Solanum lycopersicum: one gene and its partners. The main gene of each other region encodes a partner of the protein of the gene in region 3 in a complex. Links are inferred from orthologs where the notes say so. Each region holds a gene or a part of one and is shown on either strand. Other genes may lie near its edges.

Region 1 (4,673 bases), on a different chromosome or scaffold from region 3:
TATTAACACGTCTAAATCCGAGTACATTTTTGAATATTAAGATATTGTCTCTAAAACTAATTGAACACATTATAATTAAGATTGTTTGTTTTCAATATCCAAATGTGCATAATTCATCTTTTTAACATAATGAATTTAAATTAAATATTATAGAAAGCTCGTTTAAGCAAAATAATTTATTTTATAGAAATAATATATCAAAGATATAAATAATATTTGATATTTCATCGAACAAATAGAAATTTGCGGGGTCTAAATTCTGCAATTGTAGCGTCGATAGGTTTTCTTATAATTTGGATATGCTATTTTTGGGTCAATCTGTTAGGAATAGGGTTACATAGTTATGGTTCTTTTCCATCAACATTTAATTGAATTCATGACAAGTTATTACAAATACAAGAGCGGGTGACGCATTGTATGAAACAGCATGCGGACCGTGTGAATCAAATATTGTATTGATGATTCACATGGTTTTCTACCATATGCAGTTCAATTTCATTGATTTTACTTAATTCTTAAGTTAAGAGAAGAAAAAAAGAAGACTTTTTTTCATTAGCACTTCTACTCAAAATATCAATCGTATCAAGGTGTTGAAATAACCAAATTCTTACTAGCAAAAAGATTATCATAACTTAAACTTGGAATGTGATATTACTTTATAAAAAGGCAATTGTGAATAAAAGTGATTACTGAGAAGGAATAAAAATTATATCATATTTGTAGTGTTATGTCTTATATACCTGAGCCAATAAGAAATAAAGAAATAAATTAATAAGCAAAATAGATGAGAAAATGGTTTTGAAGAATGTAATTCTATACGCTACTATTACTTGATACTATGGCCCCTATGTGGAACAAAAGTTCTATTCCAGTCTTGCTACGATCAAGAAATCCACATCAACCAAATAATTTGATTGATTTTGTAAGAAAATTTAGAATCAAACCAGTTCAAGAAGAACTATACCGCATAAAGTCCGAACAACTGAGGCTAAACCATGTCCTTATTAACTTCCCAGCCAACAATGAACTCATTTACGGAGAAACAAAACTTGAGAAGTTAATAACTTAATATTGATACCCTCATTTGCACTAACGCTCTATTAACAATTAGAAGAATCTTCAAGTTCTTATACATATGACCAAAAGCATATTCTATCTCAAAGAAATACCTCGAAATGATAGGGTACAAGTTCACAATATTATAAAATTTAAGGCATTTAATATGAAAGAATGGTAAATGAAGTATTGCAGATAAATTGACATAATGGCAATAAAAAGAACATTGTTGAAATCTCCAACCTGGAAAAGCGGATCCAATCAGCTACCCAGCCTACCCAACAAAAAAAATGTTTCTAAAATAATCAGATATAAAAAAAAATGTACGCTTACTTTTGTAGTCACTCCATGTTCCATGAGCAAACAAACGAAGCAAATCAAGGTATACTGAATTCTCAGTTCCTCCAAGCTGCATATAGGTCCAACAAAAAAAAACAATTAACCGCAAATATGAAAGGGATCCCAAAGTATATATACAGCAACATGGCAATATGGTGTTAACTACACAACTTGCAAAAAGTATATCAAGGTACAATTTTCAGGTGCTCCCAATAATCCTCTGCATTGAAACAAATGTTTTCTATGCCCATATTTTTCAAAAACTTACAGTTTGAGATTCAAATCTCACAATTAGATTTATGTTCCAGCAGAATCAACTATAATCTAAGTCTGTGATGCATAAATCTAACCTGAATCTTATGATTCAACAACCAACGTTGAATCACAGGTGCAATTTATAGTCAAGAAATACCACAATAAAGTGCCCACTTCAGATATGGTCTAACCTGACTGATCAAAAGCACTTCTTTTGCCCTTTATTCCCAGATGTCTACCTAATTGTCATAAAGGAACTCTAAAGAGAATCAAAACCGAGTATAAAACCCATTTCCTATGTAGCTCGGACTCTTCCAAACTGTCAATAGTGCATGTCGGATTCGCCAAAAGTAGTGTATTTTGGTGAATCCGACACGGATGCGGCATCAAAGTGAAGAGTCCGTGCAACTAAGCCCATTTCGATATGCTTAGGGTTTTGAGCTCTGAAGTTGATTGAATTGATAGGATGAACCCAAGTTATTTCCTCATTAATGATACTGTATCCCCTACGCTTCTATTACCTCTTTTAAAATCAATCAAATTGTAGTATCTTGATCCATTTTAGTTGTGTTTCCTGATATTCATTCCTTTTGTGTTTTGAAAATCATCTGGTACTTGATCATAAGATAAAATATTAACTTTTCATCTATTTATCCATGATCTAAAACATCTACATAGACTATTCAATATTTAACATACAGCCATATAAATGAGCAAGAGTTTGTAGCTCATCGGCAAAATATTGTTTTCATTAATCCATCCCAGTTTACTCAAAGCTTTCCTTTCTTAAGACATCCCCAACATTTTTCCTCGTACCACAAGACCAATTACTACGCCTAACGCAGGCACTTCCAATATGAGAGGAAAACCCACTAATCAAATTATCAGGAAATTCCATCAACAACAAAAACAACAAACCAAATGTAATCTCACAAGTGGTGTTTGATGTCCAGGTAGGGTAGAGTGTACGCGCAGACCTTATCCCTACCTTTGAGAAGGTAGAGAGGCTGTTTTCGAAAGACTCAACAAACAGATACCCAGAATGATATCATATTCCAGATATTGCCCAATCAATAGCATAAGTACATAACCACGACACAATGTTCAGGGTAAATACCTAGAAACCCAGTATAGGAAAAAACACACAAAATTACAAAAAAACAAATTAACGCAACACCTACTAACCCAATTATCATAAAAAAAAAAAAAAAACTTCAAACAAAATCAGAACAAGTGTAGAAATAGTAATATGAATGAATGGAAACCTCGAGAACACTGGGAACAGAAAGAATCTCTGAAAAAGCAAAGAGTGATGGATGCGAAGTGGCTTCAACAATAACAGTGGTAAGGGCAGAACCCTTGAGTGCTGATGCTTGTTTCACAAAGAAGTCGATGTGCTCCGCTTGCTTTTGTTCGATATCCATCTCTCTATGAATAATTAATAATCACAAGTAATCAGGGGTTCAATAACATTTATAGACAAAAGCAAAGAAAATTATTAGGGTTTCTGATTTCCGATTCAAAGATTTATCACAAAAACAAATAGAGAAGAGGGCTTTTTTAACTGTAAAATTTTGGAGTCCCACGGAGAAGAAGGGCGCTTGTCTGATTTGGTATGATGCTTTGAGCCCATCGCGGGTCCTTTTATACTTTTGATTTACTTTTAAGCTTCTTTCAATATTTTACAATAATAATTACTCCCTCCGTTTAAAAAAATAATAATAATTTAAAATAAAATTTCAAAAAAGGAATAATATATTTTAATTTTATGTAACTAAATTAAAGTTATGTCAAGTATATCAAAATACTTTTTAATTTTATATTCTTAAACATGTCATATCGTTAAAATGTTGCCAGAAAAGGAAAAATATCATTCTTTTTAAAATATACAAAAAAGAAAATAAGATCATTATAAGAAATATATACTAATTATTTTATATGTATATTAAATTTTAATAAATTTCAATAATAATATATTCAATATGATAACGTAGAGTGAATGTCATGTTAATCAAATCATGTATACTGAAGAAAGATTTTTGACATTGACATACTATTAATCTTAATGGCTTTGTCGTATGCTTTAGGTTGATTTCATGTCAATGTATTTAAATTTGAATATACCATTATTATATGATAACTTATCAATAAAATAGTATTTTGTATTTATACAATTAGATAGAGAGTTACTTAACAAGTAAGGGGTTGCATTTTACGAAAAATTCATCAAAGAGCTCTTAGCAAATGTGAGACAATCACTTCTTTCAATCTTTCTCGATCATAGATATTATTGTTTTTCACTTGACACCTTGATAATAATGAATAACTTGTATCATCTTTCCTCAAACTTTTATGATTTAATTTTATGTTTTTAATCATGTATGTTATGTCATTTTCAATCGTGGCATATTTCGGATGCTTGAAGGTCCCGCTGACACGAAGTGATTTAGAAATATTCTTCTTTTGTCGATGGTGATCGGTCATGGTATACACAACCTTGCTTTTTTTTCGTTCAAATCCTGATTTCGTTTTGCTTCTCCCGATCGTCGAGCCTGATCGATTTGACTCTTTTCCATGCCCCCGACCTCTCACTCTATTTCGTTCTACTTCTGTACCATTGCTTGAATAAAGACACCCGGCCGACCCGACTTTCCCAAATCCCCCCCCCCCGACCCTTCTCCTTTACGGGGTCTAGATTTTTCGCGTCGTTTCAATCGTCGTGGTCGACGGAGAAGAAAGAAATGAATGAATATTCTTTTGGGTTATATATATATTTTGAAAATAGTTGCAAGACAAAAACTGAAACCTTTCTTTTATTGTTGTTCCTCCCAGATACATGGCTTACATATGTGGCTCAACATTCTTGGAAAACAACCGAATCGAGGGTTCGGGAGCCTATAAAACGTTTGTTATGATATAAGGATCGTGCGCCTACCCGAATTGACTTCGCTATTGCTTCCGTGTAGGGGTCGATCCCAAAATAGGGATTTTTTTATGTGAAAGGAATTTTGAAGCGAGTATTA
Region 2 (4,455 bases), on a different chromosome or scaffold from region 3:
AATTGATAAAGGAACAACTACCAACACATCAAAGAGCAGAGTTTGAGATATGAGAGAGCCTTTTCAGAAGGTTTAGAAAGTAACATTTTAGCATGACTTTTAAAGGTGAAAGGTGAAAGGATACCTGACCAATCAAGTCCAAATTATAGTCTGCTAGACAATGAAGAGAATGGAGACGATTCTCCTTGCAGACACAACAAGGATTCCTTATGACAGACACTAGTTCATTTAGTCCTCTTATGTACACAAAAAAGAACTTTACGACTACAAGCATGCACGCTGTAGATAAAAACTTACAGTTTGTAGCATCATTTTCATTCATTCCCAGGAAGTGAGCTGAGTCTTGTGTGCTAATGGTTGAATAAGCGGAAAGAAGGAGCTCGAACATCCTTTTTCTGTATAATTCTGCAGAAGGATGAAAATGATATGAAAATCAAATATACAGCAAAATAAGTACCCACATGTATATCTATGCGTCCTGTATAGAAAAACCACAAAGAAAACAATGGGGCACAAGAACTTCTTCAAGTTTATGTTTACATTATATGGCTCCCTTCACAGATTTGTGTAAAAGCTTTTCTTAAAAAATTGCTAGCAACTATTCGGACATTTCCCCAGCAATGTGGTCTAATATTTAAACAAATAACCAACTTAAATTAAGGATATATGTAACCACCACCCCCTACAATAATGTGCTAACAATCATTTTATTTTCTTACAAATACAGCCCCAATTAATATGGCAGAAGAAAATAATAATTTGGTGAAGTATAGTTTCACCTGACGTCACAAAAATATAATGCTGCATGAATTACAAAACACAAAAATAGTACTAAACTAATTTACTTCTAACCACAACAGAAGATCCTAGAGTCGGAACTAAGCATGCTGAAAATTCTGTTGCGCTCCTCTCCATCAGCATGGTCTGAAAACAACTTCATTTATGCTGCTTTGTCTACCACAGGTCCATAACCAATCCTCCAGACAGAACATTTCAACATAGATTGAGTAATCACTTAATCTTTTTGGTATATGTCTACATCAGTTTATCACTTAATCCTTGACCTCTCACCAAAATGTAGTAGTATAGTTTTGTTTTTTATATAGGTGGGATGAAAGCAATATGATGGAATTAGTATTACTGTGTGTCTTATTAGTAGAAAGTTACATGCCAAATTATCCTTTATATGTGGAAAGATATTTTTCCTCAATAGCTATCTTCCCAAAGTCAAGTATATAATAAATTCAATGAATCTGGAGAGTTACCCAATAATTAAAACAACCCAAGACTCCAACTAATTCACCATCAGTAAATGGTGTACAAAGAAAGAGTATACAGTCCTTGTTTTAGTAAATAAAACGCCTTGTCAAAGTTGCGCATGCGGAAAACAAAGAACCAATTAAGCTCGTCCAACTCATATAAGGAGTAATTGACAAAAAAAGAACACACAGCAAAATCAACAACGAAGAAAAATAGGATGGGGAGACATAATAGGAGCATTATCCACAATTATCTAGGTCAATAAGTACATACATATCAAGATTCAAGCATGGAGATGATACTGCAACCAACAATCCAACAATCATGACATCAACCAGGAACGAAATTGACACGTTGTGATTGGGAAAGGCATCACCATTATGATCTCCTTTCAGGGGATCACGCCAGTAAATACATCCTAAGTAAACCCATACTAAATAATTGCTTATACTGACTATTTCATACCAAACAGCCAATGGCCTTGCTAACAAAACATATCATTTTCAAATTTTTTGATGTTGTACCAAGATGTATTGACCTGTAGAGAACAATTCTACCAGCCCACTTAAGATGATTACCTGAAAGTGGGCACTAGACTTCAAGATAAGATCAGAGAACATCATTGTAGTCTCAAGCCATTATCAAACTCCAATAGCTAATCTTTGACTGCAGCCCAACTATGTGATTTGTGCAGATCCATAGATTCTACTAATTCACAACAATGGCAATTTTGTTGTTAATCCTTTACTTGATCCACATTCTATCTTAACCCAGAAGAGAGGCTAGACTCCTTTGGCAAAGTGGCACTTCTTATAAGTCACAATTCTTAGTTGTAGCAGCAAAACCTTCTATGCTTTTGACAGGCACAGAAAAGAATTTTAATTCCTTCCAAATGCCAACTATAGTATAAATTTACTAGATAGAACCTTCGAAATATAATCTCAACACTTTTATTTTTTGACAATGGTAAAAAATCTCAACACTCACTTTAACTTCTCCCTTTTTATTTCAAAACGAGAGGTGACACTCCTCTTGCACCACTATAACTTAGAGATGCTATGTCTTAGTTGTTCACATATTCAACGTTTTACCTACTCAATGGGTTCTTTCATCTTCATCATTCAGAACCCTATAATCCTATGGATTGGACAAGCAAAAACAAATCTTGGGCTGTTGCTAGGACTTATACAGTACAGTATGTAAAGCTTCTAACCAGAACTGATTAGACGACTAGAATTAAATGAAGCCAATCAAATTTTAAACAAAAAAGGATGATCAACTAAGTCTCTACCGTTTGTTCTATGGAGAATAAAGATAAACAAACTTGCCTGCAAAGGAAGCCACAAAGGGCTGAATCTCAGGACTCCAGCTGAATCCACGAATAGCCTCATGTACACCGACATAGTCCCTTGTCCAAAGTTTCTGCCCAATCCTCCAAACAGCCACCACCTCTGGTCGGGCTTCTTTTACAGCTGCAGGTATCTTCTTCCACAGAAATCGCGCACTATTACTGCAAAAGTAAAACAATAACAATGTAATTCTAAATCAATTCCCTAACATCATCCAACTTAAAACCCTAAAATTCCAAAGTAAAGTTGCAAATAAGAGATTACATGTCATTGCTGTAAATATGACCTAGAAGGTGAATCGCGTACGGCCATTCATCTTGAAATTCGATTCCCTCAGCGGCACCCTATGAATACAAATAAAGCGAATAGAAACATTAGGTTTCACTCTTAAATCGACTGAAAGAACTACACTAGAAAGACGATAAATAAAGAGAAAAAAATAGGGAGAAATTGCCTGGAGCATGAGATCATCACAAATATCAGCAATCTTGTCGTAGAAGCTGGACGCCAAGGCTTCGTTGAGTTGAGAAGTATCCATTGAAGCGCACTGTTTTTTTCGTCGTCGATTCTCCTTCTACTCCGTCACCGACTCCCCGCTGGGTGATCGGAATTACAATGTATTAAATAGTTTCGGCTTTTGGTTATTGGGCCTTTGGGCTACTTAAAGGTGATTTTCATATCCGGATACTAAATAACAAAAATACTAACATTTTTCACGACACATGTTTCTTGTTTCTTGTTTACGTGTAGAGAAAAAACATAAAGTTATTACTGAAGTTCGTTTTATATTTTTATAAAGATAATTTATCTTTGAAAGTGTTATATCACTCTATAAAAAATTTTAATATCTTTGTAAATGAATCATTTTGACTCATTTCCTTGTCTTGATTACTGCGCGTGATGCTCATTTTTTTTGATCCGTTTAGCCCAATCTAATTTTTTTATAAAGTAGAAAAATGTTTTTTTTCCTTGGTTATTAGTTAGCTTTCCAATTCTTTCAGATTTTCTTGTTTTTCTTTCAAGGAACTCGAGAACAAGAGGAAAGACAGAGCTCAGGCAGCATATGAGAGAGGAGAAAGCAGTTGGAAAAACTTAGAGTTAAGGCAAAGAAAGCTGCAGAGGAGAAGCTTGGACCTCAACTCGCCATCATTTCTCCAATCAAGTATTTTGAATTGGTACGTCATTTTTTCGAAATACAATTTTGTTGAAGATTGATAAATAATTTTAATGTCGGCCTTTTTTTAATTATATTGTCCTCCTGAGTAGTGTATTTTCAGTTAAACATTTGAGAGGACTCTCAAACTTTTATTCTTCATTGTTTTTAGTAATGAAATTGAATCTGATGCTTTTAGTGATACACCCAAAAAAACCATTTTATTGAAAATTTAAAGAGAAAGAATTCCTACATTATTGCTTTAGGAGAAGATTATGTATTTGTCAAAAAGAGTGTATCTGATCTTGCTTTAGAGAAAAAAAAATGAAATCATAAAGAGTGGCTATCAATGGCTATTTTGAGTTTAAATTTGGGAAAGATAAGGTAAACAAATTAATAATTAATAATAAAGAAATAAAGCGACATGTGTTACTTTTAAGCTGGTTAATGACAGTGAAAGCATTGTAGCACAGATTTATGTGCGTGGTCACAACCCAAACAAGGAAATGGGTCAAAATGGCTCATTTACAAAGATATTAAAAAGTTTTGTTGGGAGATAGGACACTTTCAAAGTTCAAGGGTCTTTATAAAAATACGTGACAAATTCAGTGACAACTTTATGTCTTTTCTCCATGATTGTATTATGATTTCCTACGTAGAAGGCACTATAAATTAATATATATATTAAAATGT
Region 3 (5,431 bases):
CAAAAAATATCGCTAAAATCAGTAATTATTTTTTATAATGTATTAATCCAAGAACAGTAAGTTAATGCTGTGAAATTGTGTTTGACTTGTTAGATTGTAATTTGATTTTGAATAACTTTTAGGTAATTGTATAACATAACAAATTAATAATATAAAATAAACGGAAAAGGACCTAAAATACCCTTAAAGTATTGAAAATGGTACAAAATTACCCTCCATCCACCTATTGGCTCCAAAATACCCTTCCCACCCACCTATTGGGTCCAAAATACCCTTGTCATCCACCTTTTGGTTCAAAATTGACCACTTATTTAACGGTTTTATATTAAACTATTTAAATATTTTTTAAAATACGTGAAACTCAATTTTTTGTTATAATTTAACTTATTAGTATAATTTATAAATCAATCCACTACCCATCCCATTACTAATCAAATCCCTCTAAATTAATGAATCCGTCACATTATTAATGCAAGCTACTGCCAATTGAGTGTTTTTAAAAATTATAGAGGTAAATTATCATACATTCAAGTGGCTAAATAAAAATCACCGATAAACTTAAAAGTCTGACTATGTTCATTTTAATTATTCTTATGTCTCAATTATGTGATGTTACTTCATAGGTAACTTTCTTTCAAAATAATATATTAAAGGTTTTAAAACAAATCATAAATATTTATAAAATTATATTTTAAAAAAGAGCATGAATTAGTTCGGGATGTATTACTTCTTTACCTTTAATCATGAATTTCTAATTCAATTTTGAAAGAAAGTGTCCTTCTAAATAAGCGGCTCAACCTAAATTTAATTGGGACTTCGATTCGGACTCGAATAATTTTGAATGTCATTTTCAGGAATCTATAATTTCATCGTGTTTTACTAGTGTTTATGATGATTTTGATATTATAATTGGATTATTAATTGGGTGAGGTTTAATTAGTAATGAGTGAGTAGTGGGTTGGTTAATAAATTATATTAAAAAATTATAATTATAATCAATAGTTGAACGCCAAGTATTTTTAAAAATATTTAAAGAGTTAAATTTTAAAACAATTAAAAAAAGTGGTCAATTTTGAACCCAAAGATGATGACAAGGGTATTTTGGAGCCAATAGCTGGATGAAAAGGGCATTTTGGAGCCAATAGGTGGATGAAGGGTAATTTTGTACCATTTTGAATACTTTAAGGGTATTTTAGGCCCTTGTCCGTAAAATAAATATAATAGCTATTGTTTGATTTATTTGTGTTTCATAGCAAACTGTTTGTCAGTCTCATTCTCCCTCATATTTTCGCTCGTCACTCTCTCTCTCTCTCTCCCTATCGCTTGCCTCTCTCGCTTTATACAATAGAATTGTATAAGTTGTGTTTCTAATCATATAAATCGAGAGAAAATTGTATATACACATGTAAATACATATATTTTTGTCATATACACTTATAATTATACAATAAAAGTACTCTTCCGCCCAAGTCTCTTTTGTCTCTCTCCTTCTCGTTTTATACAATTTGATTCAATTGTATATTCCCTGCCCAAGTCTCTTTTGTCATTCTCTCTTTCTCATTTTATACAAATTCAAATTGTATATAATCGTCTTATACACTTATAATTATATAATTCATTTTATACATTTCATTTTATACAATTTTATGCCCAAGTCTCTTTTTCTTTCTCATTTTATACACTTCGTTTTATACAATTCGCTTCAATTGTATATGTATAGCAAATTATACATATATATGTTTGCTATTAAATATATTTGTTACAAAGCGCAATTATATGAACTTTGTTATAACATACAAATATAAATTTTATATATGCTACATGTGAAAATTATCCTACATAAATTTGAACCGAAATAATAATTTTATCACTTTTTCTTTTTAAAAAAATAAAATTAGTTCGAAGTTGTGTCCGAGCCCATATACCACAGCGGGCAACAGATTATAAATCGACTTTCAAATCCCTATTTATATGCCAAAATTTTGGTTCATAAGCTCCATTAACGCTTCGAAAAAGAACTCGACGAGACACTCCAAATTGCGTATTCGAGAAGATTAGCTCAGAGATAAACCCTAAATCGCAATGGAGAGTGCGTTCGCTAGTGCCTCTGCGATCAGCGACCAACGCCAGAAAATCGAACAGTACAAGCACATTCTGTCCACCGTTCTTGCATCAAGCGATATCCAACAAGCCAAGCAATTCATCGATCACAGTAAGTTTTTCTCGTTGTTTCATCATAATTTCGCTGTTAATTTTTTGTTCATGTTCTATAATTCTCAGCTGAAATAGATGTTCGAAGATTCATATAGTCAGATTGTAACCGGTTTGAGATTGAGAGGTTGTTTGATTGAGATTGTGTACAATTATGTCGCGCCAGTTATAATCTCATCACAGTTTTGCTGTTAATTTATGTTCATGTTTTATATTTCTCAGTTGAAACAGATGTTAGAATATTTATATAGTCATATTCTATCTGGTTTGGGATTGAGCCATTGGTTGGTTGAGAATGTGTTTGGTTATGCAGTGCAGTTACTGCCTCATTATAATTTTGCTGTTAATTTATCTTCATGTTGTATATTTCTCAGCTGGAATAGATATAGAAGATATATATAGTTAGATTCTAACTGGTTTGAGATTGAGCCGTTATTTTGATTTAAGTTTATTTACGACTATGCAGTTCAGTTACTATCTCATCATAATTTTGCTATTTATTTTGCATTCATGTTTTATGTCTCTCAGCTGAAATAGATATAGAAGATTTATATATTCTCATATTCTTACTAGTTTGGGATTGAGCCGCTGTTTGATTGAGATTGTGTGTGATTTATGCATTGCAGCAACTATTTCATCTCAATTTTCTGTTAATTTTATGTTTATGTTGTAGATTTCTCGGTTGAAATAGATATAGATGATTTATATAGTCAGATACTAACTGGTTTGAGATTGAGCCGCTGTTTGATTAAGACTGTACGATTATGCAGTGTAGTTACTATCTAATCATAATTTTGCAACTTGTTTTATTTTTCATGTTGTATACGTCTAGCTGAAATAATATGTATAGACAATTTATGCAGTCAGATTCCAGTTGGTTTGCGATTGAGCCACTGTTTGATTGAGATTGTGTATGACTATGCAGTGCAATCACCATCCAGCTGTCTAATCTTAATTTTTCCTGTAATTTTTATATTCACGTTGTATATTCTCAGCTGAAATCTAAATAGAATATTTATAGTCAGATTCTAACTAATTTGGGGTTGAGCCGCTGTTGTTTGATTGAGTGTGTACATTATGCAGTGCTATCGGATGACGTGCCCTTGGTGGTATCTAGACAGCTATTGCAGACATTTGCCCAGGAATTCGATAGATTGGAACCTGATGTTCAAAAGGAAGTAGCACACTATACTCTCAACCAGATACAGCCTCGTGTGGTGTCCTTTGAAGAACAAGTATGCTTTGATATTTCTATTTTGTTAATTGTCAGATTCTTGACAACTCCTTTGCAGCCCATAGTGAACGATACTTGGACTTACATTAATGCCTTATATATCTCTAAAATTTGGTGCTTCAGAATGTCACTAGCATCAGTTTGTCTTTATTTTGCTTTGTCTGTTGCATCAGGTGGTGCATATGTATTTGTAAGGGTGTAGCATTTGGATGTTTGTAATTTCATTTCTTAAAACTTCATAAGAGAACAGCAAGAATGCTCTATCAAGAAAAAATACAGAGAGGAACATGGTATGAAGAAAGAGAATTATTGAATCAGCATGACAATATCTCTGCCACCTAAAGAGAAGGCCTGTTTTAACGATTGAAATCACGTTCTTTTACTAATTATGGGATGGGAAGTACTTATCAGAAAAAAGGATGGCAAATTTCCAAATAATTGTCTTTCAGAAAGTAATCTCTTTCTAATTGACCATTAAAGTTAGCATCTCTATTTTTATTAAAACCAGTTAAAATAATAGGCTAGAAAAGAATTTGAGTGTAGTACCAGGAACTCAATACACGGGCCACAACCCACATTGGGACCATGGGGTTGTTTATTATGAAGTGTGTTTTTTGAGTTGGTGTTGGATGGAACTATTGCATTGACACCTTTGATTCCTTTTCGATGGAAGTGATTTTAAGAACTGAATTTTGTGAGAGTGGGCTAGCGCCAAAGTCACAGAATTATTTGTTTATCTTGGGATTAAAAAGTTTTTCCGGAAATCATAGTTATCTTAAAATTTGATGTGTGTCTTGAGTATTTTAGTTTTGAGAAAATGGTACAAATGAAGGTCAAAATTGGAACTCAGCATATTGTCTGTTGTCATCAAGAGATCTCCACATACAGGTTCTTTTGATCTTTTATGTTTTTACTGCCCATTTCTAAAACAAAATCCCATATTTTCAGGTGTTGATCATTCGGGAAAAACTTGCAGAATTATATGAGTCTGAGCAACAATGGTCAAAAGCAGCTCAGATGCTTAGTGGCATCGATTTAGACTCTGCAATGAGGTCTGTGTTACACTTCTACTTATCTTTGCTTGCCTGCTGCTGTGTCCCTTAACTTATCTTTGGAAGCTGAAATTTCTATCTTCGCACTGCTTCTTCTGCAGATTCGTTGATGATACATTCAGAATTTCAAAATGTGTCCAAATTGCTCGTCTCTATCTGGAGGTTGGATTTTTCTTTTTCTTTTCTTTCTATACTTCTAATGCCAAGTAAACATATCCAAGTTAACGATCCTTGTTTGGTTTGGTAGTGCACCTTTCAACTTGCCTGACAATTGATCTGCTCTAAAGAGGAAGAGGCGAAATCAATTCATCAATATATGTGCTGGAGCGACCTATCAATTTTTTTAGTTTGGTTAACTAATTGTTGATATTTATAAGAAAACAATTAATAACTTGCTAGTTTGAGCTATAGGGCGTTGTTGTAGTGCAAGCGTATTGATTACGGGAATATTATACAAAAGGCTTTCTTAAAAATTCTCATAGAATCTAGAATGAAGTTTTGATTCTATACATGCCATATCATGAATTAGTAGCTGCTTCCAATTAAAAGAAATTCTAATTGTGTTGAACTTTCCATTTTTGTAGTAGTTATGGAATCTTCATGAGTAAACTATAGTCCACACAACCATATCTCCCAATTGAAAAAGATAATTACTACATGAGACAACACATTAGATAAAGGAAAAATCTTTCGTTCTTTCTTTTTTATTTCTATATTATATAGGTATGTACAACTTTATCATCAATTTTCTTTACCGATCAAAAGTAGTTTCTAGTATGTTTGCCCAAACTGCTTCAAACACCTAAGGAACCACCAAAAGTTTTTTCTACAAAAAAGAGTTTTTTCTTAGCTGCACCTAAGGGTGTAGCCTAGTGGTCAATAAAGAGGGTTGAGAACTGTGAGGCCTTAGGTTCAATTCCCAGCGGAGACAAAA

What was found. Proteins that work in one complex are often made in the same cells at the same time.
Region 1: the proteins of CSN4 (region 3) and COP9 signalosome complex subunit 7 are in contact, whole or in part, in a cryo-EM structure (PDB 9IS6), measured with the Arabidopsis thaliana proteins. The link is inferred for Solanum lycopersicum from reciprocal best matches to the Arabidopsis thaliana genes COP8 and FUS5. Residues at the interface, in NP_199111.1 of Arabidopsis thaliana: Glu269, Arg270, Ile271, Arg273, Ser310, Lys313, Leu314, Tyr315, Thr316, Asn317, Ile318, Arg319, Glu322, Thr325, Leu326, Val357, His359, Gln373, Asp383; in NP_563645.1 of Arabidopsis thaliana: Met1, Lys108, Val124, Arg125, Glu128, Asp129, Ile132, Asn133, Met136, Tyr137, Lys144, Leu145, Asp146, Gln147, Leu148, Pro155.
Region 2: CSN4 (region 3) and COP9 signalosome complex subunit 8 share a complex: the UniProt entries of both Arabidopsis thaliana proteins name them as parts of the CSN complex. The link is inferred for Solanum lycopersicum from reciprocal best matches to the Arabidopsis thaliana genes COP8 and COP9.

The regions. Positions count from the first base shown.
Region 1 is NC_090800.1:79,720,518-79,725,190, reverse strand, and holds the start of COP9 signalosome complex subunit 7, read right to left. Parts: upstream 3,287-4,673; 5' UTR 3,075-3,286; coding exon 2,916-3,074; intron 1,466-2,915; coding exon 1,390-1,465; intron 1-1,389. UniProt on the Arabidopsis thaliana protein: Component of the COP9 signalosome complex (CSN), a complex involved in various cellular and developmental processes such as photomorphogenesis and auxin and jasmonate responses.
Region 2 is NC_090800.1:89,068,627-89,073,081, reverse strand, and holds the start of COP9 signalosome complex subunit 8, read right to left. Parts: upstream 3,287-4,455; 5' UTR 3,148-3,286; coding exon 3,064-3,147; intron 2,954-3,063; coding exon 2,874-2,953; intron 2,771-2,873; coding exon 2,589-2,770; intron 406-2,588; coding exon 298-405; intron 1-297. UniProt on the Arabidopsis thaliana protein: Component of the COP9 signalosome complex (CSN), a complex involved in various cellular and developmental processes such as photomorphogenesis and auxin and jasmonate responses.
Region 3 is NC_090803.1:66,278,912-66,284,342, forward strand, and holds the start of CSN4 (COP9 signalosome complex subunit 4), read left to right. Parts: upstream 1-1,973; 5' UTR 1,974-2,082; coding exon 2,083-2,212; intron 2,213-3,294; coding exon 3,295-3,446; intron 3,447-4,393; coding exon 4,394-4,497; intron 4,498-4,598; coding exon 4,599-4,659; intron 4,660-5,431. UniProt on the Arabidopsis thaliana protein: Component of the COP9 signalosome complex (CSN), a complex involved in various cellular and developmental processes such as photomorphogenesis and auxin and jasmonate responses.